7 linked regions of the Sus scrofa genome follow. Each later gene encodes a partner of the first gene's protein in a complex. Links are inferred from orthologs where the notes say so. Each region holds a gene or a part of one and is shown in the gene's direction. Other genes may lie near its edges. The genes, in order: CRCP, POLR3F, POLR3E, POLR3C, POLR3K, POLR3D and POLR3G.

The links.
Region 2: CRCP (region 1) and POLR3F share a complex: the UniProt entries of both Homo sapiens proteins name them as parts of the RNA polymerase III complex. The link is inferred for Sus scrofa from reciprocal best matches to the Homo sapiens genes CRCP and POLR3F.
Region 3: CRCP (region 1) and POLR3E share a complex: the UniProt entries of both Homo sapiens proteins name them as parts of the RNA polymerase III complex. The link is inferred for Sus scrofa from reciprocal best matches to the Homo sapiens genes CRCP and POLR3E.
Region 4: CRCP (region 1) and POLR3C share a complex: the UniProt entries of both Homo sapiens proteins name them as parts of the RNA polymerase III complex. The link is inferred for Sus scrofa from reciprocal best matches to the Homo sapiens genes CRCP and POLR3C.
Region 5: CRCP (region 1) and POLR3K share a complex: the UniProt entries of both Homo sapiens proteins name them as parts of the RNA polymerase III complex. The link is inferred for Sus scrofa from reciprocal best matches to the Homo sapiens genes CRCP and POLR3K.
Region 6: CRCP (region 1) and POLR3D share a complex: the UniProt entries of both Homo sapiens proteins name them as parts of the RNA polymerase III complex. The link is inferred for Sus scrofa from reciprocal best matches to the Homo sapiens genes CRCP and POLR3D.
Region 7: CRCP (region 1) and POLR3G share a complex: the UniProt entries of both Homo sapiens proteins name them as parts of the RNA polymerase III complex. The link is inferred for Sus scrofa from reciprocal best matches to the Homo sapiens genes CRCP and POLR3G.

Annotation. Positions count from the first base shown.
Region 1 is NC_010445.4:16,619,206-16,623,168, reverse strand, and holds the start of CRCP (DNA-directed RNA polymerase III subunit RPC9), read left to right. Parts: upstream 1-1,163; 5' UTR 1,164-1,377; coding exon 1,378-1,385; intron 1,386-3,963. UniProt on the Homo sapiens protein: DNA-dependent RNA polymerase catalyzes the transcription of DNA into RNA using the four ribonucleoside triphosphates as substrates.
Region 2 is NC_010459.5:26,729,339-26,732,838, forward strand, and holds part of POLR3F (DNA-directed RNA polymerase III subunit RPC6), read left to right. Parts: intron 1-1,266; coding exon 1,267-1,379; intron 1,380-3,500. UniProt on the Homo sapiens protein: DNA-dependent RNA polymerase catalyzes the transcription of DNA into RNA using the four ribonucleoside triphosphates as substrates.
Region 3 is NC_010445.4:23,877,832-23,882,019, reverse strand, and holds the start of POLR3E (DNA-directed RNA polymerase III subunit RPC5), read left to right. Parts: upstream 1-1,388; 5' UTR 1,389-1,539; intron 1,540-4,188. UniProt on the Homo sapiens protein: DNA-dependent RNA polymerase catalyzes the transcription of DNA into RNA using the four ribonucleoside triphosphates as substrates.
Region 4 is NC_010446.5:99,491,338-99,495,515, reverse strand, and holds the start of POLR3C (DNA-directed RNA polymerase III subunit RPC3), read left to right. Parts: upstream 1-1,378; 5' UTR 1,379-1,714; coding exon of another isoform or gene 1,715-1,816; 5' UTR 1,817-2,300; exon of another isoform or gene 2,301-2,344; intron 2,345-3,308; exon of another isoform or gene 3,309-3,313; 5' UTR 3,314-3,333; coding exon 3,334-3,480; intron 3,481-4,007; coding exon 4,008-4,178. Other genes in the region: E3 ubiquitin-protein ligase RNF115, read right to left, coding at 1,715-1,816. UniProt on the Homo sapiens protein: DNA-dependent RNA polymerase catalyzes the transcription of DNA into RNA using the four ribonucleoside triphosphates as substrates.
Region 5 is NC_010445.4:41,570,389-41,574,528, forward strand, and holds the start of POLR3K (DNA-directed RNA polymerase III subunit RPC10), read left to right. Parts: upstream 1-1,340; 5' UTR 1,341-1,384; coding exon 1,385-1,573; intron 1,574-2,935; coding exon 2,936-3,023; intron 3,024-3,657; coding exon 3,658-3,785; 3' UTR 3,786-4,140. UniProt on the Homo sapiens protein: Core component of RNA polymerase III (Pol III) which synthesizes small non-coding RNAs using the four ribonucleoside triphosphates as substrates. Can mediate Pol I proofreading of the nascent RNA transcript.
Region 6 is NC_010456.5:6,519,670-6,523,812, forward strand, and holds the start of POLR3D (DNA-directed RNA polymerase III subunit RPC4), read left to right. Parts: upstream 1-1,343; 5' UTR 1,344-1,494; exon of another isoform or gene 1,495-1,504; intron 1,505-1,734; 5' UTR 1,735-1,739; coding exon 1,740-1,904; intron 1,905-3,829; coding exon 3,830-3,873; intron 3,874-4,143. UniProt on the Homo sapiens protein: DNA-dependent RNA polymerase catalyzes the transcription of DNA into RNA using the four ribonucleoside triphosphates as substrates.
Region 7 is NC_010444.4:97,646,756-97,651,055, forward strand, and holds the start of POLR3G (DNA-directed RNA polymerase III subunit RPC7), read left to right. Parts: upstream 1-1,500; 5' UTR 1,501-1,639; intron 1,640-4,300. Other genes in the region: MBLAC2 (metallo-beta-lactamase domain-containing protein 2), read right to left, coding at 483-936. UniProt on the Homo sapiens protein: DNA-dependent RNA polymerase catalyzes the transcription of DNA into RNA using the four ribonucleoside triphosphates as substrates.

The DNA of each region.
Region 1 (3,963 bases):
ATATCAGGGAATAACAAAACGCTTATCAAGGAGACAGTGTTTAGTAAATGATAACTGATATAATTATAAAAAAGTGGAAAAATTAGCAATTGATTCATCACCTAAAGACACCAGCCATTTTTAATTTTTGGCATATTTCCTTCCAAATACTTCAAACATACTAAAAATTCAGAAGAAAATAGACATCAGCCTTCCACTTTTTTTTTTCCTTTTTGTCTTTTTAGGGCTGTGTCTGCAGCATTTGAGGTTCCCAGGCTAGGGGGTCGAATAGGAGCTGTAACATCCTGCCTACGCCAGAGCCGTGTCTGTGACCTACACCACAGCTCATGGCAACACTGGATCCTTAACCCACTGAGTGAGGCCAGGGATAGAGCCTGAGTCCTCATAGATGCTAGTCGGGTTTGTTAACTGCTGAGCCACAACAGGAACTCTTTTTTTTTTTTTTTTTTTTTAAGACACAAAATTTCATAGATTAGGTGGCTGTATCACCCTTACCCTGAGGTCTTTTTTCCCCTATGCATTATTTTTCTTTAGATTATTAGAGTCACAACACATCATTTTCCATCTTAAAAAAAAAATCTGTCTTGAGCATTTCCCCAGCATATCAAATATGCTACAAGATTACTTGGGCCACATATATCGTACTGCATACTGTATGGCTGAAACACGATTTATCAATTTTCCATTGTTGGGTATGTAGGCTATCTCCCAGCAAAATTATCATTACACGTTGATCTTTCGTCAAGCATCTGATGATTCCATTTGGGCAAATTCTTAGAAAGGCCAGATCAGAGACTGTCAAGAAGTCTCTTCATAATTTTCTGACAAATAGTGAAGAATGGGAACAGGGAGAAGGGAGTCTGAGATTTTTTTTCACCTTTTAGAACGTTTTATTCCATTATAACACACATACAGAAATGTGCACATAAGCTACAGCCCACCGAATTTTCAGAAGCACCACCTACTCGGCGTCCAGATCCTGAAAGAGAGCATGTCCAGCAGCCCAAGGCCACCTCGCCCCTTGCCATCGCTACTATCCAAGGGGTGGGATTTTAACGCTGCAAATGCCTACGAATCCGATTACATCTTTGGATTAATACTTGGATATACCCTAGACCACGAAAACGTGAGCTAAATCCGTCTGCAAACGTTTGACAGCCTGAGGTCGGACCAAGAGCGCAGAGACGGGTCGGGAAGACGAGCCAGCAACGCCCCCGGCCCCACGGGGGTCCTCCAGGATCCCGGCATGCAGCGCGGCGATCCCGGCGTGCACCGCGGTCCGCGGAGTCGGTTTCCGGGCGCTTTGCTCGGGCGGCGAGAGCAGCGGATGGGCGGTGAGGGTCTGTGTCCGGCCGAAGGCGACGAGGCGGGGACGACATGGAAGTGTAAGCCGCCCGGGGCGCGTCGTCGGCTCAAGGGCGACGCTCAGAGCTGGGGACGGCTAATTCCTGGGAGCCGGGAGATGTGGGCCGGGGGCGATTCCTCGTCCGGGCGGGCGGGGAGGGCGGCGGGCCAGGAGGCTAGGAAGGGACTCTCCCTCCGGCCTTCTGAACCTTCGCCCCCTCTCCCACCGCGTGCTCAGGACGTGGGGCGAGGGCCACTTGGCCCGGCTGCCTTTAGGGGTGCCAGGTGTCTGTTCCCTCCCTCACGCACTCAACAGCGTCGCCAGGTCGCGGTGGGGAGCTGGGTATGAGAGCAGGGACTTATTAAACCCTGGGTCCGGCCTGGAAGTACCTGGAGGAGAGGTGGGGAAATGCTGGAGTAGAGTTTTGCTTAGGAGCAGTGGGCTTCTGGGGAGCCCGGATTCAGAGGAGGTGCTCTGCAAAGTAGTTAAGAAGCAGGTAGCCGTGTGGGGTTGGGGTGGGGGGCTAGGAGTAGAAGCCATTCTAACAATTGTAACTCCACATCGGCTTTTCCATGTTTGCTCCTTGTACTGCGTGCAGAGGGAAGTTTTTGCAGCTACTTTGTATGTGGATTTTTATACCTATGTTGCGTTCTCTTTGGCAACATGTTTATGTTTTGTTTGCTCTTTAGGGCCACAGGTGTGGCTTATGGAAGTTATCAGGCTAGAGACCAGGGATCAAACCCACATCCTCATGGATACTTCTCGTGTTCATTGCAGCTGAGCTAGGACAGGAACTCTGATTGTTTAATCCTGACATTTTCCTTTATGTTCTTTTACTTCATGTTTCACGTTTATATGTACTGTTTTGCAGACTTAAACACACACACACACACGCAGTTGGAGTTCCCGTCGTGGCGCTCGTTAAAGAATCCGACTAGGAACCATAAGATTGCGGGTTCGATCCCTGGCCTTGCTCAGTGGGTTAAGTATCCGGCATTGCCGTGAGCTGTGGTGTACGTTGCAGACGCGGCTCAGATCCCTCATTGCTGTGGCTCTGGCATAGGCCGGTGGCTACAGCTCCGATTCAACCTCTAGCCTGGGAACCTCCATGTGCAGTGAGAGCAGCCCAAGAAATGCCAAAAAGACAAAAAAAACCCAAAAAAACCCAAAAAACCACAATACGTATATGTATCTGAAGTGAAAGCTTCCTGAGACAGTGTTGTATACAGTAACTCTAGTAGTCTCTTCTATTAAAATAGAATGTTGACTCCTTAAATTGATTTTGCCATCCTCTATCTTAGGTTTGTTTATGCTGAGCCACCATGGGAACTCCACTTTCTATTCATTGATTTTTTTTTTTTTTTTTTTTTTATGGCCGAGGAAGTTGATGTTGTGGCTCAGTGGTTAATGAATCCGACTAGGAACCTTGAGGTTATGGGTTCAATCCCTGGCCTAACTCAGTGGGTTAGGGATCCGGTGTTGCCATGAACTGTGGTGTAGGTGGCAGACTTGGCTCCGATCCTGAGTTGCTGGGACTCTGGCCTAGGCTGGTGGCTACATCTCTGATTAGACCCCTAGCCTGGGAACCTCCACATGCTGTGGGTGCAGCCCTAGAAAAGACAAAAACACAGAAAAATTTTTATGGCTTCATGTCATTTGTAAGTTCCTGCCCCAGGAATTGAACCCAAGCCATAGCTGTGACCTGTGCCACAGCTGCAGCAACACTGAATCCTTTATTTTATTTAATTTATTTTATTACTTTTTTGTCTTTTCTAGGGCTGCTTCCCACGGCATGTGGAGGTTCCCAGGCTAGGGGTCTAATCGGAGCTGTAGCCGCTGGCCTACACCACAGCCACAGCAACACAGGATCTGAGCCTCATCTGCAACCTACACCACAGCTCACGGCAATGCTGGATCCTTAACCCACTAAGCAAGGCCAGGGATCGAACCCACAACCTCATGGTTCCTAGTCGGATTCGTTAACCACTGAGCCACGATGGGAACTCCAATGCTGCTGGATCCTTTAACCCGCTGCTCTTGGCCAGAGATTGAACCTTCACCTCTGTGGAAACCCAAGCTACTGCAGTTGAATACTTAACCCACTGTAGCACAGTGGGAACTCCTTCTGTTCATTCTTTTATTTTAATTTTTTTGGCCTCACCTGTGGCACATGGAGGTTCCAGTACCAGGAATCGAACCTGCACCACAGCAGCAAGCCACAGCAGTTGCAATGCTGGGTCCTTAATAACACCCTGTGCCACAGAGGGAACTCCCATTCTTTTACTCTTGAACTTAATATACATAGGGAGAATGGACTCTTCTCTATAATCTGTTTGAGATAATATCAGAATTTCCTTCATTTTATAGCTGGAAATACTGAGATTTAGAGAAGTTAGCTAAGAGGTCCTTAAGCAATTCAGTAACAGGACAGAAAAGAAGGTAATTTGTTTGCTAGCTCCTAAGACAGTGCTGCAGTTTAAATTGTTCATTGAGGGACTTCCCATTGTGGGACAGCAGAAATGAATCTGACTAGTATCTACGAGGATGCAGGTTCCATCCCTGGCCTTGCTCAGGGGGTTGGGGATCCGGCGTTGCCATGATCTGTGGTGTAGGTCACA
Region 2 (3,500 bases), on another chromosome or scaffold:
TGAAATCATGTGATTTTTATATATGTTAGAAAGTTAAATTAACATTTTGAAAACAGGAGTTCCCATTGTGGCTCAGCAGAAATGAGCCTGACTCGTATCCATGAGGATGCAGGATCAATCCGTGGCCTCTCTCAGTGGGTTAAGGATCCAGCATTGCCACAAGCTGCAGTGTAAGTTGCAGATGCAGCTCAAATCTGGCTGTGTAGGCCAGCAGCTGTAGCTCTGATTCAACCCTTAGCCTGAGAACTTCCATATGCCGCACCTGCAGCCCTAAAATTAAAAAAAAATAAATAAAAACAAATATGAATAAATCATTCTCTATTTAAAATATTCTTCTGGGGAGTTCCTGTCGTGGTGCAGTGGTTAACGAATCTGACTAGGAACCATGAGGTTTCAGGTTCAATCCCTGGCATTGCTCAGTGGGTTAAGGATCCGGTGTTGCCGTGAGCTATGGTGTAGGTAGCAGACATGGCTTGGATCCCATGTTGCTGTGGCTCTAGTGTAGGCCGGAGGCTACAGCTCTGATTCGACCCCTAGCCTGGGACCTCCGTATGCGGAGGGAGTGGCCCTAGAAAAGGCAAAAAGACAAAAAATAAAATATTCTTCCTATTTCATGCCTTTATGCTGGGAAGAAAATGCAGCAAAATATCTTTACATAAATTCTCTTTATGTAACACATTTCCTTCTTTGAAAGAAAAATCATAGCTTTCTGCACAGGCCTTTAGTGACCATAAGAAGTATAATCTTTCTGTTTTCCAAACAGAATGTTGTATAAATAATGGACATACATGCATACAGATGCTCCCATAAAGAGCTTTTTTTTTTTTTTGCTCTATATTGAGAATGGCAGTTCACCCTGGCCCAAACTTAATTTTGTTTTTCACATAAACAGTCTAAAGTGAAATTTCCACAAAAAAGGGGTTAGAGTGCAGGAGGGCATGGAAAAAACAATACAAGTTAATTCAATTATATTCAAGATTTTTCTAACATTATAAAAATGTCCTTTTTATATGATTTTCAAAAGGGGCCACACTAGCATTTCAAGAAATTTCCAGTTAGCAAATAGAACATATAATTTCTGTATTGTGTTGAATATTTTTGTTACTCTGTCTGAGGTTCTTACCTCTTAGTCGTTTTTCCTATAGCTCTGCCCTAGGTACACATACATATATATGTATTTTGCTAGATTTGTAATGAGATATAAGCAATGGGAAGAGAAACACAAATCCTGTAATGTTCAACTTATTTTACTTTACTTTCTTATAGGAATATGGAGCAGAGATATCCGATACAAAAGCAACTTGCCATTGACAGAAATTAACAAAATTCTAAAGAATCTAGAAAGTAAAAAGCTTATCAAAGCTGTTAAGTCTGTGGCAGTAAGTAGTCTTCTCTTTTCTTCCCCTGAACGTTCACTGTACATGTATTTCTCCAAGTATATTTCAGGCTCTTATTGTTCTTTAAGCTATGTCATGATTTAAAACAACTGACCAAAAAAGATTTTTTTAAATGTAGGTCATGGAGTTCTCGTTGTGGTGCAGCAGAAATGAATCTGACTAGTATCCATGAGAATGTGGATTTGATCCCCGGCCTCCCTCAGTGGGTTAAGGATCCAGTGTTACCATGAGCTGTGGTGTAAGTCACAGATGCGACTCAGATCTGGTGTTGCTGTGGCTGCGGTGTAGGCTGGCAGTTGCAGCTCCGATTTGACCCCTAGCTGGAAACTTCCACATGCTGCAGGTGCTCAGTGGGTTAAGGATCTGGTTTTGTCACTGCTGTGGTGCAGGTTCAGTCCTTGGCTCAGGAATTTCCACATGCCACAGGCGTGGCCAAAAAATAAAGTGCTTGAACACAAAATTCAGCATATAAGAATTTGATAGTCATCAGTGATTTTATTTATCAATGATAGTTATCATACCACTCCCTCATTTAGAATATTATTTCTCTGGGAGTTCCCGTCGTGGCGCAGTGGTTAACGAATCCGACTAGGAACCATGAGGTTGCGGGTTCGGTCCCTGCCCCTGCTCAGTGGGTTAACGATCTGGCGTTGCCGTGAGCTGTGGTGTAGGTTGCAGACGCGGCTCGGATCCCGCGTTGCTGTGGCTCTGGCGTAGGCCGGTGGCTACAGCTCCGATTCGACCCCTAGCCTGGGAACCTCCATATGCCGCGGGAGCAGCCCAAAGAAATAGCAAAAAGACAAAAAAAAAAAAAAAAAAAAAAAAAGAATATTATTTCTCTGCTGTATTTTTACTGAATAATTTCAAATATATACAAAAGTATGTAAAATAACAAAGTGAATCCCTACATACCCATGCCTGGCTTCATGCTTCATGTTGCCAATCAAGTGTCTTATTTTTTTTTAAATATTTTTTAGTAACTGCTTTATTGAGATTTAGTGGGTTGTAATATATTCAGAGTTCTGCAACCATCACACTCTTCTAATTTTAGAATATCTTCATCACCCTAAGATGTGACTTCACTAGCAGCTACTCCCTAGCCTCCCTGTCCCCAAGCCTTGACAATCATTAGCATACTTTCTGTCTTTATAGATTTGCCTTTTCTGAACATTTAATGTGGTCTTTGGTGCCTGGTTTCTTTCACCTAGCATGATGTTTTCAAAGTTTCAAACTAGAAATCAAAAATCAGTATTAGATTGTAACCCAAAATATAAAATAGATATTCATGAGTCCATACTGATAAAGATGTTTGAATAAGTCAATAATGGGAGGAAACAGACAAATCTCCCATGCAGAAGAATTCCAAATGATTTAGTAGACCTTCCATCCTCAAAGAAATAGAGCATAACTCCCAGTCCTTAAGTCTGAGCTGTGCATGGTGGCTTCTTTCCACAAATGGAAAGGGCGGCAGAAAGTAACTTCACAGTGGAGAAAACTGAGAACCACCACCAGATCAGGTGATCAATTTGTAATGTCAATGCTGATACGTTTTATATATATATATGTGTGTATATATATATATATATATATTTTTTTTTTTTTTTTTCCTTTTCGTGGCCTCATCTGCAGCACATGAAAATTCCTGGGCTAGGGGTCAAATCAGAGCTGCAGCTGCTGGCCTACCCCATAGCCATGGCAACAATGGATCCAAGCTGCATCTGCAACCTACACCGCAGCTTGCGGCAATGCCTTAACCCACTGAGCAAGGCCAGGGATTGAACCCGCATCCTCATAGACACTATGTAGGGTTCTTAACCTGCTGAGCCACAGCAGGAACTCCTGATAAGTTTTATTGATGACAGTCAGTCATCACTTGGTGCTGCTCAGGTACCCTTGCTGAAATATGAGAAGGGCACTTTACTTCTGTGGTCCTTTTTCCAGTCTAATCAGACAAATCCCAGTTAAGGGACATTCTACAGAATTTTTGCCATTCAGGTGAGTTTCTCAAAACTGATAAATTCATCAATAACAAGGAAAGTCTGAGAAAACTGTCACAACTAAAATTTGTGTATTTACATCTACTTACGCAAATAAGTAAATGTA
Region 3 (4,188 bases), about 7.3 Mb from region 1:
CGTAAATTCCATATTCATAGCATGGAATAAATTAGATCTACATCTGTCAAAAATAAATAGAAAAAACATAACTAGAGTAGAAAAGCAAGTGGCAGAATGATATAAGTACAATATAGTAAGGTTTACATAAATGAAAAGCAAAAAATCATAGTATATATTGTTCCTGGGTATATGTACACAGGGGTGGACAGGTGGATAGAAAAGTATGAGAAGTGGACTGGAAGGATACGCATCAAATTCATGACATTTGGGAAGAGGCTTTTATTTTTATTTGTAATAGTCCATTTTTATTTGTAATGGTCTAATATTTTTAATGGATTTTTTAAAGGACAACATATTCGTACTTTTAATAACAAAAGCATATAGGTAGGGAAAAAAGTATACATAGGAAAAAAATTGAAAGTGAAATGCCACAACGTTAGGTGGTGGGTGTATGGATAATTGTTTTTTCTTTGCGCTTTTTCTGTATTTTTAAATATCTATATATGTATCAACCTGGATAGATATTTAAGAAACATAGTGGGGTGAAAAAAGTCAGCTGCAGATAATCATAGTATAATAATATTTATATTCATGTAAAAATCCACAATGATAAAAACGAAACACTCTCCATGGATATATCTATCCATATGAATATATCCGTATATATCCATATAAATTCACAGCAAAAGATCCAGAAGGATACACAGTGTACTAAGTGGAGGGACTTCAATGGGGGACAAAGGTAAAAGAACATTGGTACTTCGTCTGAAAAATTTTAATATTTTGCAATAACCCACATAAAACTTGTGTAACTAAAAATGAAAACACCTGAGCTTTTAGAGAAAACGGCCCACTCGAAAATCCCCCTGGTTTGGCTTTTGGAGCCCCTGGCGCAGGTTACTGCTGAAGTCCATGATGTCTTCCGTGTGGGTTAATTTAGGGTCTCCGGGTTTAATGCCCACTAAGAATACAGATTCTTAAACTGCTTTTCATTCTAAGATCGGTTCGGAACAAGACTGGTCTAAATATTAGAGGAAATATTTTATTTTCTGTACCTGGTATATTCTAAATAGTTCTATTAAGATGAAGTAAAGCACTTAAGCGGAAGAAGAAACGTACACGCAAATGCACATAAACGTATGAAGTAGTTTTCTGGAAGGCACTTTGCATAACCGGGTAGCGTGGCCGAGCGGTCTAAGGCGCTGGATTAAGGCTCCAGTCTCTTCGGGGGCGTGGGTTCGAATCCCACCGCTGCCAAGGTCAATCTTTTGACGGTTTGCAGCTGTTTTGCGCCAGCATCAGCGCCCCCTGCTGCCGGGAAGGGCTGGCTCACCTCATGAATGGAGCGGCGGAGGGGGGCGGGTCCGCGTGCGCCGGGGCGGGGCATTGTGGGTAAAAGGAAGCGCGAGGGCTGGCCCTGCTCCCCCCACGTGTCCGCCCGAGTTTCTCCACCGGCAACATGGCCGCTGCCTGAGAGAAGAGCCGGGCCGCCGCCGCCTCTGCAGCCCGCGGGTACCTGGGCCGTTGCAGCCGCCCGCCTGCGGGCCCCGCGGAGAGGTGAGTGCCGAGTGGGCTGCGCCTGCCCGGGCTGGAGCCGGGCCGCACTCAGGAGGTGGGCCTGGGCTGGGCTGCGGAGTAGGCCGGGAGGCCCGCGCCGCGCGGTGCCCAGAGGCCGGGGGCCGCTCGGGACTCGGTGGGGGAAGGACGGGCAACCTGCCTCAGTCGACCTGGGCCGGCCGCGGGCTTCGACCTCGGCTGGGCCCGGTGGTTGGTGAGGCCGCGGCCGAGGCTGCCGGCGGTGACTCAGGGGCCAGCCGCCTTGCCCCGCCCGGCTCAGGCGGGCCTCCTTATGGGAGCACCTGTCCGAAGGCAGCCGGTGACCTGCCGGCGTGGCGGCTCGTAGCGATGGCTGCGTGGTGGGCGTGAGAAGGGGGCCTGACCACCCGCGAGGGAGGCGAAACCCATTGGACAGTGTGGCTCGGGGCCGGCGGCCCGCCCTGATGGGCAGGGGGAGGATACCCAGGCCCTCTCCTGGCTGCTGAACCAGAGCAGCCTCCGCGCGGCCAGGCCCGGATTTCTTCATTCATTTATTCCAGCCACCACTCAGGGCTAATTGAAAACCAACTACGGGCGGCTGATACAGCCCTGACCATTTGGTCGGAAGAGGTGTCAGTAAGCACGTCAAGTAAACCAGTAAATAAATAAACAAGGTCGCTCTGTTGTGTTAGCTTTAGAATCGTTGGGGCTTGGGGGCAGAAAGAGCTCTTAGCAAGCTTCACAATTTCTTTATCTGTGAAATGGGGATAACAGAATTCCCCACCTCATAGGGTTGTGGTGAGGACTAAGTAGGGTAAGGCGGGAGAAGCCCCAGCTTACAGCATTTTGATTCCTGGCTAGATCTCCTACCCTTTTATATTGGAAGAAAATGTGCCAAGTTGTAACAAACCTGTCCTTGGCTTACATTTATACCTTATTTAACCCTCACCACAGTCCTCTGAGGTCGGTACTTTTGTTATCCCCATTTTAGGGATGAAAATAACGAGCAGTCCTAAGATCAAACAGCTCCAGGTGGGACAAGGGTAGCGAGCAGCAGACCTGGGATTTGAACTTACAGAGTTCTGCCTCAGAGTCCATGCTCTTACCCACCGTACTATCCTGCTTTTTGTTAAAGATGCCTGCAGCATAGTAGTTAAGAACCAGAATAAGGATCTTTTGCCATCAGCTAGACCTAGGTTTGTGTCCTAGCTCTGCCGTTCTCCAGCACTGTGACCCTGGGGTAAGTTAACACTCTGAACTTTGTTTTCTGCTTTCTTAATTGGAGATGGTAAATCTTGATTTAAAGGGCTATTGAGCAGAGAAATGGGAATATGTATTTTAAGTTCTTGGAGAAGGGAGGGTCTGACTCTAGTTTTAAGAGGTAATTCTTCTAGCCCCTAGGCTATCCTTCCCTTGAATGGAAGTGGAAAGGGATGACCCAAAGAGGGGGGGAACGTGTGGAGGGGCACACAGCCAATAAGAACCCGGACCTTGAGACTATTTGCCCAGGGGCCTTTCCCCTTAACTCCGAAGCATCTTGTCCTCACCCTATCTCACTCCCTCTAGGAGCTGGAGATTATTTGCAGTCCCCTCTGCTTTTCAGTTTGGTGGACAGCATAGATGGATGCAGCTGGCTGGGGCCTTCAGGCTGCTCCTCTGCTCTGAACACCTCCTTAGCTCACCTGGCATTCTTGTCCCCTTTCCATTTGTCGAGCAAAACCCCTGATGGGGTCTGTTTTCTGTGCCCAGCACCATGGAGCCACAGCCACAGTGTCCCCTTGTGGCCACAAGTCACCCTGTGGAGGCCCAGGGGTTCACTCACTCCTGCTAGGGAAGCTTAGCTTGTGGTGGCCTGGGAGGACAGGCTACACCCCTATCCTCATGTGTCCAGGAGACCCAAGCCATGAGGCCACTAGTCTCTCAGTGGGGCTGAGCTAGACTCACTGGGTACAGGGTCTGTAGCTGCCTGACGTATGCGTTTTGTGTACTGTATTGAGTGATAATTTTATGCCAGGTCCTGTTCTACATATTGGGAGATCAGCATGAATTTTTTTAAAAAGATAGTAATCCCTCTATCAACTCAGCTTCAACTTTTGTGGTTGAAGCCCTGAGAGGCTGTCATGGAGCTTACATTCTAATGCAGAAGATAGACAACTCAGAAGCAAATAGACTAGGTTTTTCCAGATGGTGATAAGAACCTGAATGTGGTCGTGACTGGAAACAGTTACAGGGCGGAGGTGCTGTTTAAGGTGGATAGTCGGAGAACCTCTCTGCTCCTGGAGGGGCTGGGTGATGGTATCTAATGAAAAGAGGTCAGCCTTGAAAGGAGGAAAATAGACGAGGTGCAAAGGTCCTGGGGCAGACTTGGGCTTAGCCTCACATGAGACCTTGAGGCCACGGAAAGGAATTTGGATTTTATTCTATGTGATAGTTGAAGGGCTTTGAGTAGAGAAATGATGTGATTGCTTTTTCTGCAAGACGACTCTGGCTGTTTCTGGGAGGATTGGAGGCAGGAAAGACTAGTTGGAGCAGTACTTTTTAAATTGCAGTTCCAGATTTATTAGTGGCATGTGAAATCAACTTAGAGGGATTGTAACCGGTATTTTTAATTTTAATGACTGAGGGTAAAAACCATCGCTTCAGAGTTCCTGTTGTGGCTCAGCGGATTAA
Region 4 (4,178 bases), on another chromosome or scaffold:
AAGGCTTAGAAAAACACCTAAAAAGTCTTTCAAATGAGCCCTTTTCAAGAGCACTTTGAAGTGAGGACTTGAGATGGTAGGGAGAAAAGATACAGTAAGTGGAGGAAAGTTAGACTGTTTTCTCACTCTCAAAGGCAAACGGTGAACAGCAACTTAAAGATCAGAATAGCCAAGGCCTCACTGTTCATTAGGGCATCACATTCAACATGTCACTCATCACACATGCACTGGCTGAATTCCAGACTCCCTCTCTGTGGTAAGGAAGAGTTCTGGAGCCTCCAATGTCCACTGGAAAAACAAACAAACAAACAAACAAGCCACGGCACCTGCTCTTCTCAGCACTGAAGTATAGCAAAAAGCACACAGACACAGACACACAGCCAAATCATCCAAGCAAAACTAAAAGAGCGTGTAGATGAAACTACGACCATGAAGTTAGGGGTGGGGCAAATAGAGAAGAAAGAAAATACAGCAAAAGCCTGAAAAAGCACAACTCAAGTGAAAAGGCTAAAATACTGTTTAGGCACTTTTCACTGGACTCCACTGGTGTTTCTAAGAACTAAGACACAGAGACACACTTTAATAGGCTTTCTCACAGATTGTATCTGAGACACTATAAACACTGAGATAAGTAGTTACACAGACACCCTCTTAAGGCTGAACAAAGATACTTCTAAGGAAAAGAACAACCATAACTAGTTCTAAAGATGGTTGGCCAAAGGTAGGATTAACATTCACCCTGGTGGATCTCCCTGCAGTAGTAACTCAACCTAAAACAGCCTCTGGGCTTGGGGTGCAATAGCTGGCAAGCATGCTGCAGAAGCACTTTTTTTCCACAGCCAACAGCACTACCTCTCTAGGGGCTAACACAGTCTGGCAGAAACTGACGAAAACCAATTTTACGTCAGAGGATGCAGTCCCCAACATTCTGTCCTAGATCTTCTCACTAAGTGAAGAGAGAGAATGGGGGAGGGGAAGGAGGGGCGGGTAAGGCAGGTGGTGCTAAAGATACTGGCAGCATGACAACCAAAATAAGAGAGTTGAAAGAATATGTTCTGCCTTCTTCCTAAAGCCATTTCCTTCGACAGTGATTGGGATCGCAGTCCGCAAGTCATTAGTACACCGCTGTTTTCACTTTCACAAGAACGCTGGAAACCCCTGAAGAGTAAAATCCCCCTCTCTGCCCAGTTACCTTCCAACCCTCCCTCCCCCCCCCGCCCCGCTTTCTTCCCTCCTTCCCTAGAGACAATGAATAAAGACAATCCTCAGCAATCCGCTATATTGCTTCAATGAGGATAGTGGAAGGGGAGATCTGATGAAAAGTGGAAAAGGAAATAAAGATGAGAAGCAACAGCGGAAGGGGGGGGGAGGTCATTGTGGAAAGAGACAAGGTGAAGAAGAATGTAAGAAAACGGAGAGGAGGGGGTCAGCAGAAAACTTGCTAAGGAAAACCAGGAAAAAAAAAATAATAGAGGGCAGGTAAAAAGGGGAAAGAGTGAGGGACAGGTGGAGCATCCGAATGGAAAAAAGGCTGGGCGGGAGTTACTGAGCCACACAGCCCGGACGCCCGGGGTTTAGGAGACAGTGGGCAGCAGGTACCTGGGATACCCATGTCAGGGGAGTCGGGGCTGTGCGGGAAGCCTAAGCGCCGTTCTGGGACATCCGGACGAGGAACCCACGCGGACGCTGGCGTGCAGAGGACACACACTCTTACCGGTAGTTTGGGGCTGACCTCGCCCTTGCAAAAGTGGCAGAAAAACCGGTGCGCGGCAACAGCGGCGCCTGCGCCGGCCCCGGCCGCCGAGGCCTCCGCCATTTTTCTCTCCCGGCGCCGCCGTCCGAGAGGGCAGCCGGCCCGTCGCTCCCCAGGCCGCTACCTCCCGGCTACAAGAGACGCCTCTGCCTCCGCCGCCGCCGCTTCTTCAGCGCAGCTGGCCGCTCCAGAGTCCGCGCGGGTCACGTGAGCCCGCCCGGCCCACAAGGCGTCGGCGAGGACGGCGACCCCACGGCCCGCCTCCCGGCACCAAAGAGCTACAGGAAGGAGAGTCCGTCCGGCGCTGCCCTCCCGCCGGCTCCTCTAACACCCCTCGCCGGTCCTCCAACCTCCCAGCGAGAAGGAAGCAAGAGCGTCCCCGGAAACCACCGAAACGCTGGGGTAGAGCGGCACACGTTTTTCCTCTTTGCTGACCCTCCTCGTTGGCCGGGCTCCTGCGCAAAAGGGCCTTGGGGTGCCTTCTGCTCGAGCCGCTGGCTGGAGCCGCACGAGGTCGGCGGCGGCTTTAGATTGCATTGACCCAGAGGTTAGTGGAAAATGCGGTCTGAATGAGGCCGTTTCTCTAGACCCAGGGACCCAGTCCGGAACCGGAACCTGGGGGAAGGAAGTGTAGAATCAGGAGCCAGGTTCCTTGGAAATCCTTATCAAGGATGGCAGATGGTCTGGGGATACTTCCCCAAAGACCTGTGAGTGGGAATACTGAGACTGAAAGACACAGTCTTGGCTTCTGAGGGATTGGGAGAAATAAATGAACAGACCAGTGTGTGGTAGCACTTATGACAACAAGTGATTTTATAGTCAACTATGTTTGTTTCTTTTTGTGTCTACTTTGTCAAGGAGTAGAAATTTCAGAATACTGCCCTGCCAACAACATGCTTCATCTGTTGTTTGAAACACTCTGTTGAGACGCTCCTAATTTATTTTGCAAAGTTGTCATTTCTTACGGATTGGGAATGACACTTCCTGTTCACTCCCAATAGGCTGTGAATAGTGTCCTTAATTCCTCCAAATAAAATCATCTACACACGATATTTAAAGAAAATTGGACTCGTACATCCCATAAGGATAAGTTTGATATATTGTCTTGCAGTCTTTTTTTTCTTATACCTATAAGAAAAAAGGGGGTTTTTTTTTCACAATAATTTAAGTTTCTTCTACATTTTGCTTTGTAACCTGCTTCTTTCACTTAATGAACAATTTTGTACACTAATACATGTTACACTTCATTGTAAACATAGACGTAGTATGCCATTGTATGAGTCTACCATAATTTATTGAAATAATCCCGTATTGTTAGATATTATATTGTTTCTGGAATGTCAGTATTCTAAAGTGACATCATTATTATTCGCTTGAAACAAAATAGCCAAAGCAAAAGTATTAGGTCAAAGATATGCAAGATTTTAAGGCTTTTGACGTATCTACTGTCAAGTTGCCCTCCAAAAAGTACATGAATTTACACTTAGCAGCTCTACTCCAACATAAAAGAAAAACTTCCCATCGTGCTATTTTTTCTTTTCTTTTCTTTTCTTTTCTCAGGTCTGAGACTTCTCAGTACAATGACTCAAGCAGAAATTAAACTGTGTTCTTTATTGCTGCAAGAGCATTTTGGAGAGATTGTAGAAAAAATTGGAGTCCACCTAATCAGAACTGGCAGCCAGCCACTAAGAGTTATTGCCCATGACACAAGAACATCGCTGGATCAGGTATGTTTGGATCACACTAATTTGCTTTTATTTCATTAGTTTCCTTTACCTACCCTTGAATATTACTACTCCCCACCCCACAAAATACAAAAGAGAGCTACACTGAGATCAGAACAGTGTCATTGGGAGGGAGAGAGGATGAGACATAGTGCCTAAGGTTCTGCTTCTCAAAGCGATCTGGCTCACTGTGGCTTCTTAGGCAAACCTGTGCTTTTCATTTGCCATACTTCATTCATGCATGATGAGTCTATTAATTTCAGCACTACCTTTAAGGAATGGCAGTAACAGAGAGCAAGTAAGTTGTACTTTGTAAGATAAAGATCAGAGGAAATATGAGCTAGGAATCCTCCTGATTTCTTCATAAGATGAACAATGCGATTCTTAACAGCTATTCCAATGGAGAGAGAGAAGATGCACGGAGGTTCCAGCCATCTCCTGAAGTTTAGTAAATTGTTGGACAGAAATTGCCAACAATAATGAACTGCATTTTCCAATTTTTTTTTCTCTTTCTTTTGTGTCCTCTCTAGGTTAAAAAAGCCCTTTGTGTCCTCATCCAGCATAACCTGGTGATATATCAAGTGCACAAACGTGGTGTGGTGGAGTATGAAGCCCAGTGCAGCCGGGTGTTGCGAATGCTTAGGTATCCCCGGTACATCTATACTGCCAAAACGCTGTACAGTGACACTGGAGAGCTGATT
Region 5 (4,140 bases), about 25 Mb from region 1:
ATTTTCATGATGGGCAAAATACAAAGATTTAAAAACAGGAGTGTGCCAGGTCATACTGAAGCCTGAGGAGAATGGAGAAATCTTTATTATTTTTCATTTTTTTGGTTTTTTAGGGCTGCACTGGCGGCATATGAAGGTTCCAAGGCTAGGGGTCTAATCGGAGCTGTAGCCACTAGCCTACACCACAGTTCACAGCAACGCCAGATCCTTCACCCACTGAGCAAGGCCAGGGAGGGGTCGAACCTGCAACTTCATGGTTCCTAGTCGGATTCGTTAACCACTGAGCCATGATGGGAACTCCAGAAATCTTTAATACTGGTCTTTTTATCTGACATGATATCATTTTGTTTACCCTAGGTCTTTATAAACCAATGTTGAGTTTTAAAAACACTGTACTGGAGTTTCCATCCCTGGCCCCACTCAGTGGGTCAAGGATCCTGCGTTGCCCATGAGCTGTGTTGAAGGTCGCAGATGCCGCTCTGGATCCTGAGTTGCTGTGGCTGTGGTGTAGGCCAGCGGATTCCAGCCCTAGCCTGGGAATTTCCATATGCCCCAGGTGCGGCCCTAAAAAGACAAAAACAAAAAGCCGAAACAACAAAAAACCTCCTAAACCAACCAAAACACTATACTGAAATGTCATGTGTCCTGACTAGCGGGTTTTTGGCGCTCCTTTTTTATTTTTTTTTTGGCCATGCCCGCAGCATGCGAGAGTTCCTCTGCCAGTCGAACGCACGCCCAGCAGCACCCGAGCCACAGCAGTGACAATGGCGGAGTTCTTAACCGCTAGACTACCAGGGAACCCTTCGTAAATGCCGCGCCGGAGACCAGTGCCTCGCTCGCCTCCCAGGCCCAGTCGGAGCCTAGACCCTCGTTTACGCCCTGAGGCCGCTTCTGGAGGTCTCCGGGCCGCTGCCATCATCGGTACCCCAGAATCGGTCCTCTCCCTGACGCTGGGCTCCGGAGCGGGGGAAGAGGCCCCGACCCATGCGCACCTGGATCGGAAGGTCGCAGAGCAGCGGGTCCTGCACCACCATGGCCAGACCCTCTTGGAAAACGTCCACCGCCTCGGAGTGCGGCAGTGCCTCTTCCTCATCCTCCTCGTCCTCCTGCGGCTCTGGCCGTCCCGAGGCCCCCGCCACCTCCAGGGCGCCTCGCAGCCCGCGGGTTCCGCCCCCACACCGCCTCTCGCGACCCGGGCCCGGGATTCCCGGGCTTCCCGCGGGGAAAGCCACCCACGGCCCGGCCTTTGGTCGAGGGGCGGGGCTACCGCCAGGACCAATGAGAAATGATGCTTTGGGAGCCAGCCTGCCGCAGTGCACACTGGGAGTGCGGAGCCGACGTGCCTACTGGTGGGCTGATTGCTGAGAGGCGGCCGCCGGGACCAATGGGGAGTTCGGGGCGCCCGGAAGCCCCCGGAGTCCACGGCCAGGGAGCTGCAGGGAGCGTAGGCTGGGCTGTCGTGATGCTGCTCTTCTGCCCAGGCTGCGGGAACGGGCTGATTGTGGAGGAGGGTCAGCGCTGCCACCGCTTCGCCTGCAACACCTGCCCCTATGTGCACAACATCACCCGCAAGGTGGGTCCGCGCCGGCCTCCCGGCACGCAGGGCCGCAGCCGTCGTTCTCGCGGAGCGCGCCAGGCCCTGACCCTCACCTCCCCTAGCTCCGTCCTCTGCTTGGGTTTCGCGTCCCAGCAGCCTCTTGCCCGCACCGCCAGCCTCTCGGAGGCGCCCCGGTCTTGCCCAAGGCGCTGCTTCCAGGGTCTGTGCAGGAGTTTTCTGTTCTAGTCGCTCTTCCCCTAGGGACTCACTCGTTCCTGTCACTCCTGCCTGTATTTACCTAAGGGATTGTTTATATAAATGCGGCCTTTCCGTTCCCTAGTTTTATTTTTCATATAGGGCTCACTGCCTTCCAGTATACTTTCTTTTCTTTCTTTCTTTTTGTTTGTTTAGTTTTTGTTTTGGCCGCGCCCCCGGCACCCTGGCATGCACAAGTTCCTTGTGCTGGGGACGTGGCTCGGATCGTCATTGTCGAAAAATGAGGCACGTGAACACGGGGAGATCTCGACAAGGCTCTTTACTGCTGCAGAAGGGCGCTGGGCACCCCAAAAAGTGCGCGTGCCCCGAACAAAGGACCCTCCCCTGTTTATCCCTAACACAGGGGATGTACCCTGTCCCCTTCCCGTGGGTCAGGTCAGGGTGCACGTTCTTCCCAGTTGGCTAATTTGAAACAAACTGTTACTGGGAGAAGAGGGAAGGGGGGGGGGTTGCAGGAAGGCATTTCAGCAAAATGGAGTCACCAAGATTTCTTTTGCTTATGTCGCTTTCCACACCTGCAAACCTGCACCACAGCAGCGACAGAACCGGGACAGAACCAGGGCGGTAACCCGCTGAGCCAGCAGGGAACTCCCAAGTGCTACTTTCTCCTTAGTATTTGTATAGATTTGTATAGTGTCCTGCCATGTGGCCGTGTTGTGGGAGTTTAGGGTCTGAAACGACGCGGAGGGTGGACTCTTACCTACCCCGACAGGTCAAGGACGGCTGGTAGAACCTGGCAAGTGCTTAGAAAGCTCTGCCCGGAGCCTGGGGGGGGGGGGCGGCTCCCCGGCTGAGATTGCCCTTCTTTGGCCTCAGTTCTCTGGGGCCTCGTCTCGGGCTACCCAGCCTTAGGGGGTGTGGGAGAAGAGGAGGGCCATACCCGAGCCATGCTTCTCTTGCTCCTCTTGCTTTGTCCAGTCCTTGCAGAGACCTTCTCTTGGGGCAGTCCAATCATGGGTCCTCTAAGTTCTGATGGAGCAGGGCCTCTGCCTGTCCAGTACCCCTCCCGTCCGGGTTGAAGGGTGGAAGAAGCCAGACACCTGCGGGCAGGTGTGGTTAGGTGATCCTGGGGTGTGCGGTTCAGTCAGTTGGAGAGACTGAAGAGTGGCTGTTGTTTGTTAGGTAACGAATCGGAAGTACCCAAAGCTGAAAGAAGTGGATGACGTGCTTGGTGGAGCAGCTGCCTGGGAGAACGTCGACTCCACCGCAGGTGAGAGGGAGAGGCCTGTTCCCGGGCAGAGCTGTGGATGGTACGGGGCTGCTGACTCTGCCCCTCCGTGGCAGTCTGCTTGTGCTTCTGCGAAGAGGAAGTCTATATTTTCTTCCTTAATAATTTCTTAGAAATTTTTATTTATTCATGTGGTGGTTTTTTTGGTTTGTTTGTTTTTTGCTTTTTAGGGCCCCACCCACGGCATATGGAGGTTCCCAGGCTAGGGGTCTAATCAGAGCTGCAGCCGCTGGCCTCCACCCCAGCCACAGCAAGGCCAGATCCTTTACCCACTGAGTGAGACCAGGGATTGAACCCACAACCTCATGGTTCCTAGTCGGATTCGTTTCCGCTGCGCCACAACAGGAACTCCTTCCTTGATACTTTCTTTGTTCCAAAACCAGTGTCGGCACAAGCTTTGGAGCTGTTCAGACCTGATTTCGAATCTTGAGGTGGCTTACTGCCTTATGACCGTGACCTTTCTGGGCTACCTCCACATGCCACAAGTTCCCCGGCCAGGGACTTGGTCCGCGCCGCAGCCGCAACCCAGGCCGCTGCAGTCGGATTCTTCAGCCTCTGTGCCACACTGGGCATCCTTTTTGAAGTAACCGTGGGTCCCTTGTTTTTCTCACGCCAGAGCCGTGTCCCAAGTGTGAGCATCCTCGGGCCTATTTCATGCAGCTCCAGACCCGCTCTGCCGACGAGCCCATGACCACCTTCTACAAGTGCTGCAATGCTCAGTGTGGACACCGCTGGAGGGACTAGGGCCGGGTGGCCCCGCTGCCCAGCATCTGCTCACCTCATTCCCCAGGGCGGATTCCCAGCTGGAAGGGAACTGCGGGTTCTGAGCATCTTTGCCGGTGTGGCAGAAAGCCAGCCTTCTCAGAGTGGCCCGGCCGGGGGGCCAGGAGATGGCCCCCATCGCCCAGGCAGTGGATGAATTTGCTGACGTCCAGGGAGAACTTGTGTTTGGGGGCAGTGGCCACACCAAGTGCGTCTTATTTAGGGTCCTGTTATCCATCTTTCCCGTTTAGTGGGCAGTGAGCTTTCTCTCGCCACCAGCTGACGCTCGTAAACATTTATTTATATGTTGGCACACCCAAGAAAATGGGGCTTTGAC
Region 6 (4,143 bases), on another chromosome or scaffold:
TGATTGACAATGTTGATATTCTGGCTTACAATATCCTACTATTGGGGAAACTGAGTAGAGAATTTGGCTCTTCGCATTATTTCTTACAACTGCATATGTATCTATTATCTCAAAATAAAAATTTTTACTTAAGAAAAAGTGCATCTTGGAGTTCCTGTAGCCGCTCAGCGGTTCATGAACCTGACTAGCATTCATGAGGACGCAGGTTTGATCCCTGGCCTCGCTCAGTGGGTCAAGGATCCCTCTTGCCATGAGCTGTGGTGTAGGTCGCAGATGCGGCTCAGATCTGGTGTTGCTGGGGCTCTGGTCTGGCGGCAACAGCTCCGATTAGACCCCTAGCCTGGGAACCTCCATATACCACCACTGAGGCCCTAAAAAGAAAAAAAAAAAAAAAAAAAAGTACATCATCTTGTGGCTAGGTATCACAAATTTGGAAATTCACCCTAGGAATATAATCCAAAAGAATAAAAAATTTTAAATGCACCAGGTGTTCACTACGTTGTTATTTACAACACTAGAAAAGATATAATTTAAGTGATCAAACCGGAAAACAGACAAATCATGATAATTCATGAGAATTACGCGCAGTCGTTTGATGCAGCAACGAAGAAAGGTTATTTGAAATGGGAGGATTCAAAATTGTGGTACAATAAGAAATCTCTGAAGGGGATTGGAATATAGCAGAAAAGTTTTAGTAGTTACTCCATGTGTGATTCTAACAAAAGTCTTCCTTCTCTCAAGCTTTCTGTAATGTTGTTACACGGTTTTCACATGATTTGGGGGTGGGAGGAATGACAGTAGAGAATCTTTTTTTCTAGGTTAAATTACAAATGTTGGAGTCACGAGAAAAGTTATTTAAAATTGCCCCTCCCAGTAGAGCAAACTTCGTTTTTCTGGTTCCAGGATTGGACCAAGAATGCACACAACGGCCCAAAGTCACGAAGCCAGGGCAGGTGCCGTTAGGCATTAGTTGCTCCAGCGCTGTGCCCGGTAAGGGATCCCTGAACAAGAGCGAGGCCTGGCCCAGAACTCCCCGATTCTGAGTCGGGGGTCTTGCTTTCTACACCGCGTCCCACGCCCCATCGTGAGCCTCGACCCGGATGCTCCACAGCAGCGAATCCCCACATTGCATCATGTTCGCCGCCCGACCCCCAGACCCAGAGCTGAACGGCTCCACTTCACGCTCCGGGGCACGACCCCCAAGCGCTGCAACGTGGCGTAACCTAAACCAGTCCCCTCTTCCTTTTTCGCCCTCTCAACCCAGCTTTTCCCGACTCCGGGAAGAACCGGGAAGAGAAGGCGGAGGGGAGCGAGGAGCCGCGGGATAAATAGTGTGGCCCAGCCCCACCCCCCGACCTCACTTCCGCCCCACGGCAAGATGGCGGCGCCCGGGCCCTGCCACGCAGACTTCCGCCCGGCGCGGAGGCCTAGGGTGGGCTGCGGGTCGCATTGGATGTGAAGTCTGGACGCGCGAGGTGCGGAGCTGCAGCCCAGGTGCGTTGAGGTGCGTCCGTGCCTGGTGCCTGGCCGGGGGGACCAAAGGAGAGAGCGAGCCAAGGGCTCTAGCGGGGGTGGTCCGGGGAGTCTCGCCACGTGGGAGGAGGAGGAACTGGGACGCTGCGGGAGGGCCGCGCTGACTGGGGGGCAGGAGGCCACGTGGGTGGGGTTCCGGCCAGGGTCCGCATGTCCTCCTCCTTCAGTGACTTCTTTACTCCTTTCCTCTCTCTGCCCCAGGCAACATGTCGGAAGGAAACGCCGCCGGCGATCCCAGCACTCCAGGAGGGTCCCGACCCCTCCTGCCCGGTGCCCGGGGGCTTATCGGGAGGAGGCCGGCGCCTTCCCTCACCCCAGGCCGCCTTCCCTCCATCCGCTCCAGGGACCTCACCCTCGGAGGAGTCAAGAAGGTACCCGAGGGCACCATTCTAAATGAATCCAAATGCCCTAAACTGCAGACACCTTTGACTGAAGTACCTGTAGGGCCTTCAGTATGGCAGGCATAGCGTTAGGCCTCACGAATCTTGCCTGCAATATCGGGGAACCTGCCCCTACCTTCCAGTCAAGCTACTTACTGGATACAAAATGTTGTCATGGCTCTCAGAAAAGGCTGAAGAGCAGAGAATCCTAATTAGATCAAAAGCACTTTGAGCAGTGTTCATTTCCTTTTTATGTGTGTTTTGAACATCCTTAAGAAAGTGCTGAAAGGAGTACCCATCCCGGCTCAGCGGAAACTAATCTGACTAGTATCCATGAAGATGCAGGTTCCATCCCTGGCCTTGCTCAGTGGGTTAAGGATCCCGCGTTGCCCGTGAGCAGTGGTGTAGGTCACAGTATTGGTTCAGATCTGGCATGGCTGTGGTGGAGGCCAGTGGCTACAGCTCACATTTGACCCCAAGCCTGGGAACCTCCATATGCTGGGGGTGCGGCCGTGTGGCCCTAAAAAGAAGATAAAAAAAAAACCCAAAAAGCTGCGAAAGCCACCCAGGCATAGAGTTTGCCTGCAGTTTTAAAGAGCTCTGAATTTGCTGTGGTTCCCAGTGTGCAGACATCTGATCCAAAGTATTATGAGTCCTAGGCATGGTGTTAGAGGCTCTGTCCCCTTGTATTATGTTTAATTGCCTGTAGATGTAAAGGATAGCCCTTAAAGGGGGGATGGGGAGGATGACAGAACATAAAGCAGACAGTTTTTGTCTTTTTTTTGTGGGGGGGGCACACCCTCGGCATATGGAAGTTTCCAGGCTAGGGGTTGAATCGGAGCTGTAGCTGCTGGACTCTGGTTCATTACTGCTGAGCCACAATAAGAACTCCAAGCAGCCAGTTTTTGAAGGCATGAGTTTACTTTGGGAAATTCTAGTGGCCTTCTGACCCAGTCATTTGCTTATGAGTGCTAATTAATTTGTCTTCCCTACTGGAGCCTTGTTGCTAGAGCTCTTTCCCTGTGATACTACGTGGTCTCTGTAGCAGTTTGAAGACAAGGAGTGAGATTAGGGAAATTTCCTTATTGTTAGAAGTCCCGAAGTTCTCCTTTCAGAGGGCAGAAGCTGAAGCTGCTGTTTAAATGTTTTTTGGTGCCTGTTTCTTCTATATGTAATTCCACTGCCACTATGATGTGACTTTCTTCCTTTTCAAGCACATGTACAGGAGTTCCCTTTGTGGCTCAGTGGGCTATAAACCCTACTAGTATCCGTGAGGATGCCAGTTCCATCTCTGGCTCCGCTCAGTAGGTTAAGAATCAGGCATTGCTGGAGTTCCCATCATGGCACAGTGGTTAAAGAATCCGACTAGGAACCATGAGGTTGCGGGTTCGATCCCTGCCCTTGCTCAGTGGGTTAAGGATCCAGCGTTGCCGTGAGCTCGGGTGTAGGTTGCAGACACGGCTCAGATCCTGCGTTGCTGAGGCTCTGGCGTGGGCGGGTGGCTACAGCTCCAATTAGACCCCTAGCCTGGGAACCTCCATATGCTGCAAGAGCAACCCAAAAAGACAAAAAAAAAAAAGAATCAGGCATTGCTGTGAGCGGTAGTGTATATGACACAGATGCGGCTCGGATCCAGTGTCGCTGCGGCTATGGCTTAGGCCAACAGCTGCAGCTCCAATTCGACCCCTAGCCTGAATTTGCTGGGAATTTCCATATGCTGAGGGTGTGGCTCTAAAAAGAAAAAAAAAATTGAGCATATGCCCATTTCTGTAAATCTTTGACAACGGTGTGGCGTGTGTAGAATAAAACCTTGCTGGTCTTTATCCATAGAAAATGCCCTTTGGAAGTTTTTATTTTCCTCTGTGCTTTGGGATCAGAACTTAACCAAATCAGTAACTCCGGTATTTTACTTTCAGAAAACCTTCACCCCAAATATCATCAGTCGGAAGATCAAGGAAGAGTAAGTAGCCAGACCTTCTGAATACTTGTTCCTTATTTACATACTTGGGCTTTGGGGGAAGGAAGTAGGTATGTGGTTCAGAAATTTAAGTTTATAAAAAGAAAGAAAAAAAGAGAAATTTAAGTTGATAGATTTAGTTCTTTTCAGTAGTTATTTTCAACCCTGGCTCCCAGGGGATTTTTTAAAAATTTTTTATTGTAGTTGATTTTTACAGTGGTCTGTCAGTAGGCTCCCAGGGGATTCTGATGTGCAAGCTTTAAAAAAATACTG
Region 7 (4,300 bases), on another chromosome or scaffold:
AAGCCTACAGGTGTGAACCGGGCAGATGAAGTCAGCAGTTCTCAAAAGCATAGAGCATGACATGCACTCTCCATGAGGCGTCATTCCTTTTAAGGAAGACTTTTCGCTAGAAAAGTGCCTGAAAATGTCGGACAGATGTTTGGGGAAAGAATGGAAATCCTAGATATAAGACTCTGTTGGTGTTATTGCTGTACGTTACACAGGAAACTGACTAGGGGGTGGGGCCGGCTCTCATTTGAGTACTCTGCATTGCTACCCGGTGCCAGAGCTGGTCTCCGGTAAGGAGGACTAAGACGGCCTACCATCGACCTGATGTCGACTGGGGTTTTGAATCAGGAAGGGTGAAACAGAAGTAGTGTTTCTGCGATGGGACAAAATAAGGCCCCTTACAGCCACGCACGTCTGCAACAAGCACTCCTCGGACAGTTTCTCCCCAATCCCTTCCCTTAATGAGAGAGCGCGCGCTCGTGAAGGGCCATTACCATCCTGCAGGATGAGGGTGGGCTGCACCGCCTGCACTCGAAACTGCCTGGCCCTCCAGCCGGGGCTCGGAGCCCGGACCACCTCACTGTCGGACAGCCAGGTCACGGTTTCAAAGTTGTCCCCGCGAGCCAGCGCCTCGGCCTCGGCGTGGTGCACTGCCACCCGGTCGAACTGGTAGAGGCCGCCGGAGTGGTCGAAATGCACGTGAGTGGCCACAGCCAGCAGTGGCCGGCATGCCGCATCCTCTTTGGCCTCGCGGTCCTGCAAAAGGCCAGAAGAGTACAGGTACTCCGGGAGGCTGCGCAGGCCCAGGCCTGTGTCGATCACAACGTCTTGCTCCGAGCCTCGCACTAGCCAGATGTTGGCGCGGTTGCCTGACTCATAGAAGCGTTCCTGAATCCAGAAGATACCGTCGCCCAGAGACTTGTGGGCGTACCACTCGAGCGCCGACATGCTGAGTAGGGATGCGGCCAGGCGGAGTGGGTGTGGGCGTGTGTGCCTCCTGCAGGCTGCCCAGACTCCGGCGCTGCGGCGGGATAGACTGGTCTGCCTGCAGTCGGGAAGAAGGCGCAGAGCAAGAAGGGGGCGGGGGATGCAAAAGGAGTGGGAGGAGAACTGGGAGGAGGAAGGACTCTCGGAGACGCTGCCTTCCGCACCCTCCCTCCCGGTCCGCAAAGAACAGAGACCTATCTCCTTGCACCCCGGTGCAGAAACAATCGCAGCATCAGAGGCCACAGCAGAAAGTAGCGTCAATTCAGTAGACAAGGGATTCAGAAAGCGACACTCTTCCTACCGCCAGGTGTTTGACTGTAGAGGGCAGGGGCCAGGTTTGGAAGGCCCCAGGGCCGCCCACACACCGCGCGCCGTGATGCGCACTTCCAGCCGGCGCAGAAAGAGTCAGGCCAAGGAGGTTGGACCGGTACGGTTCCCGCCAAGGGATAAAAAGCTCTCTCCCCAGAGGGCGGGGCCTACCTAGCGAGTGGGCGGAGCTAACTGGTGCGATCGGAACGCGATTCTGAGGCCTCGTGGAGGGCGGAGCGCGTTTTTCCAGAGGTGGAACCAGCACTCGGCGTCGGAACCTTCTGTCCGCACCCCTTCCTTGCCGGCCGGCACTTCGGCCGCACAGTTTTCTCAAGCTTCGAGACTTAGTAAGCAGGTAACAGAGGAGGCAATGGAGGGGTTGGGAGGAGATGGAATGAGTAGGGGGGGGAGTTAAAGGGGCACGTGGAAAAGACCGGGGAAGGCAGGAGTGGAGATTCATTAAAGAGCCTCTGGATTGAGGGACGTAGCGAGATCTCTTAATCCCTTCACAATCTTTTGAAATCGTCGTTCCAGATTTTATCTTGTCTCCACTTATTAGGACTGTTTTCAGTGAGTTCGAAGGGAATTTATGCTTTTACTGATGGTTGATTTTCAATTCCGATGGTATGATTGCTTCAAACACGAGTCATTGCCGCAGACTTGCTGCTAAGGACGCACTATTCAGTACGTTTTTTGTTTTTTGTTTTTTACCGTTAGCACTTTACCCTGTACTGTGAGGAGAGGTGTTGTTGATAAGGTTTTACTTCTCTTCTGAAAAATTAAATTATATATTCCTTCCCCTCCCCTTCCTTGTTTTGGTTACTTTGCCCGCTGTTGGAAGAGAGCAAAGAAAGTTGGTAGAAAGGCTCAACTAAGGAAGGGTGGAGGCAGCTGCACCTTGTGAGGGCAGGAAAAGTGGATAATGATTGGGTGTGGCCCCATCAGCTGAAAAAATCATCCCTAGTATTAACATAAGGTCCCTGTCCCCATCCCTCAGCTCCTCGCTGTTGGTATATCCATTCAGACTTAAACAATTCCCTTGAGAACTCGACTAACCTCCCTATCCAGCCAGGAAAAATTATAAAGAGACCCATGAGACAGCATTATAAAAGATAATTATGAAAACCCTTATTGTCTCAGCTACTAATAAGCCTTCATAGAGGGAGAGGTGTTCTCTCCTTCCCTATAAACCTTAAGTCTTTGAGGGGGATGCAACTTTTCTGAATGTTTACCTAACCTAGTTAGAATTTATCCAGACACTCTGTTCAGGGCTATCCTTATGTACAAGTCCCTCAGCTAAATGATGTGTGAAAAACAGAATTGTGTTGTTTTTTTTTTTTTTTTAAAGTCATGATCTGGGTTCTCAGGAATTTGAGGGAAGCAATATCTTCACAAAAATGTTTGCAGTAAAAAGCAAATGAGATATGTACCCCAGAGGAAGTAAAAACCAGGTGCTATGAGAATATGCATGGAAGGGACTGATGAGTAGAGGCATTTGAGCTGGCCTTAAAAGACCACTGTTGTTAGGATGTTCTCAGCACGAAAGTAGAGAGCTCTCTGTAGTTTTATTTTTCCTCTAGGTAAAGGGAGGTGAATTGGAGTGATATTCTTACTAAGCCATGAGCTCAGCAATAATTCATCCAATTTTTATTGGACTTTTGCCAGGCTCTAGTTGGTGATGGGGCAGGAAGAGGTGAATAAATCTTCAAAGAGGCCTTCACACTTACAGATCCTTCTGCTTGTATTACACTTTCCCTTGTATATCCTTTCCTGATTCTCAGCATGGCCTTTTCCTTCTGTCAGTTTTGTGCTCAAATATTACAGAATACAGGACCTCTTCAACCACTCTTTCTGTAATAGCACCCATGTTTCCTGCTTTTTTTTTCCACATCACTGATCACTACCTGACATTTTCTATGAAATATTTTTTCCCTTTCCTGTAGTAGACTCTAAGCACCATGAAAACAGGGGTTTTGTTTTATTCACTATTATATTCCCAATTCATAGAAGATGGCCTGACCTAAGAGTGCTTAATTAATACTTGAAGAAGGATAACTGAAGAACTTATGGGGAGACAGACAAGAACTGATGATTACAACATGCTTTTTAAATGGTAATAAAACAGGGTAGTATTTGGGAGACAGAAAAGAGAGAGGCCTAGCTCCACTTAGGGTGGAGGAAATGGTCTCAGAGAAGTGGCATTTGCATGGTATCTTAAATGATGATGGGGCTTGCTCAGGTGGATGTGGCATCCCAGCAGAAAGAACACTACAAGCAAGAGCTGATATGGCAGATTTGGGAGTGGTCAGGAAAGGAGAAGGTGCCAGATGCACAAAGTCAGACTCCAAAGCTCTGTTGCTTAAGAAGGAGAGTGAAACATCAAGGTTTATGTTCTAGAGGGATGTCTGGAGAGTGGTTTGAAAGAGGAAGTCTGGCTATGGGAAGGTTGGTCCGGGTCAGGGATGGTGAAGAAAGGCAGATATGTGAAAGGGGACACAGAACTGATAGTCTTCTACCATTAAATGAGGATATCAAGGGAGTCGAGGACAAGGTCAACAGGACCAGCTTCTGAATAGGGCAATTTAAGTGTCATTCATCAGGAAGGATACTGTGACCAGACTTTCAGTGCCTCTCTCAGAATCCATACCTGCTTATATGTTTATTCACTTAGCAAATTTGTGCAAGAGACTGTGAGAAGTGGAAGACAATACATTTAAGCCACAATTATAACTCACAAGGTTAGAGCTAGGAGGAATTTCGGGCATGAGCGCAACCTCTGCCACAAGATTGTTTCCATGCTTTTGCATTTCAGCTCTTGGATGCTTGAACTGCACTTGTCAAACTATTTTAGAACACTTCTGAACAGAAATTTTCAGAAAGCATCCCAGAATGGAAGGGTGGTGCCTCTGATTTTATATTTTTAAATCCAATCCATTTGGTCATTACTATTCCACTTCATTGTAAAGATTAAAGACATCTCTGCGATTTAAAAGGTCTTCAGCTAACCTGGTAGTGT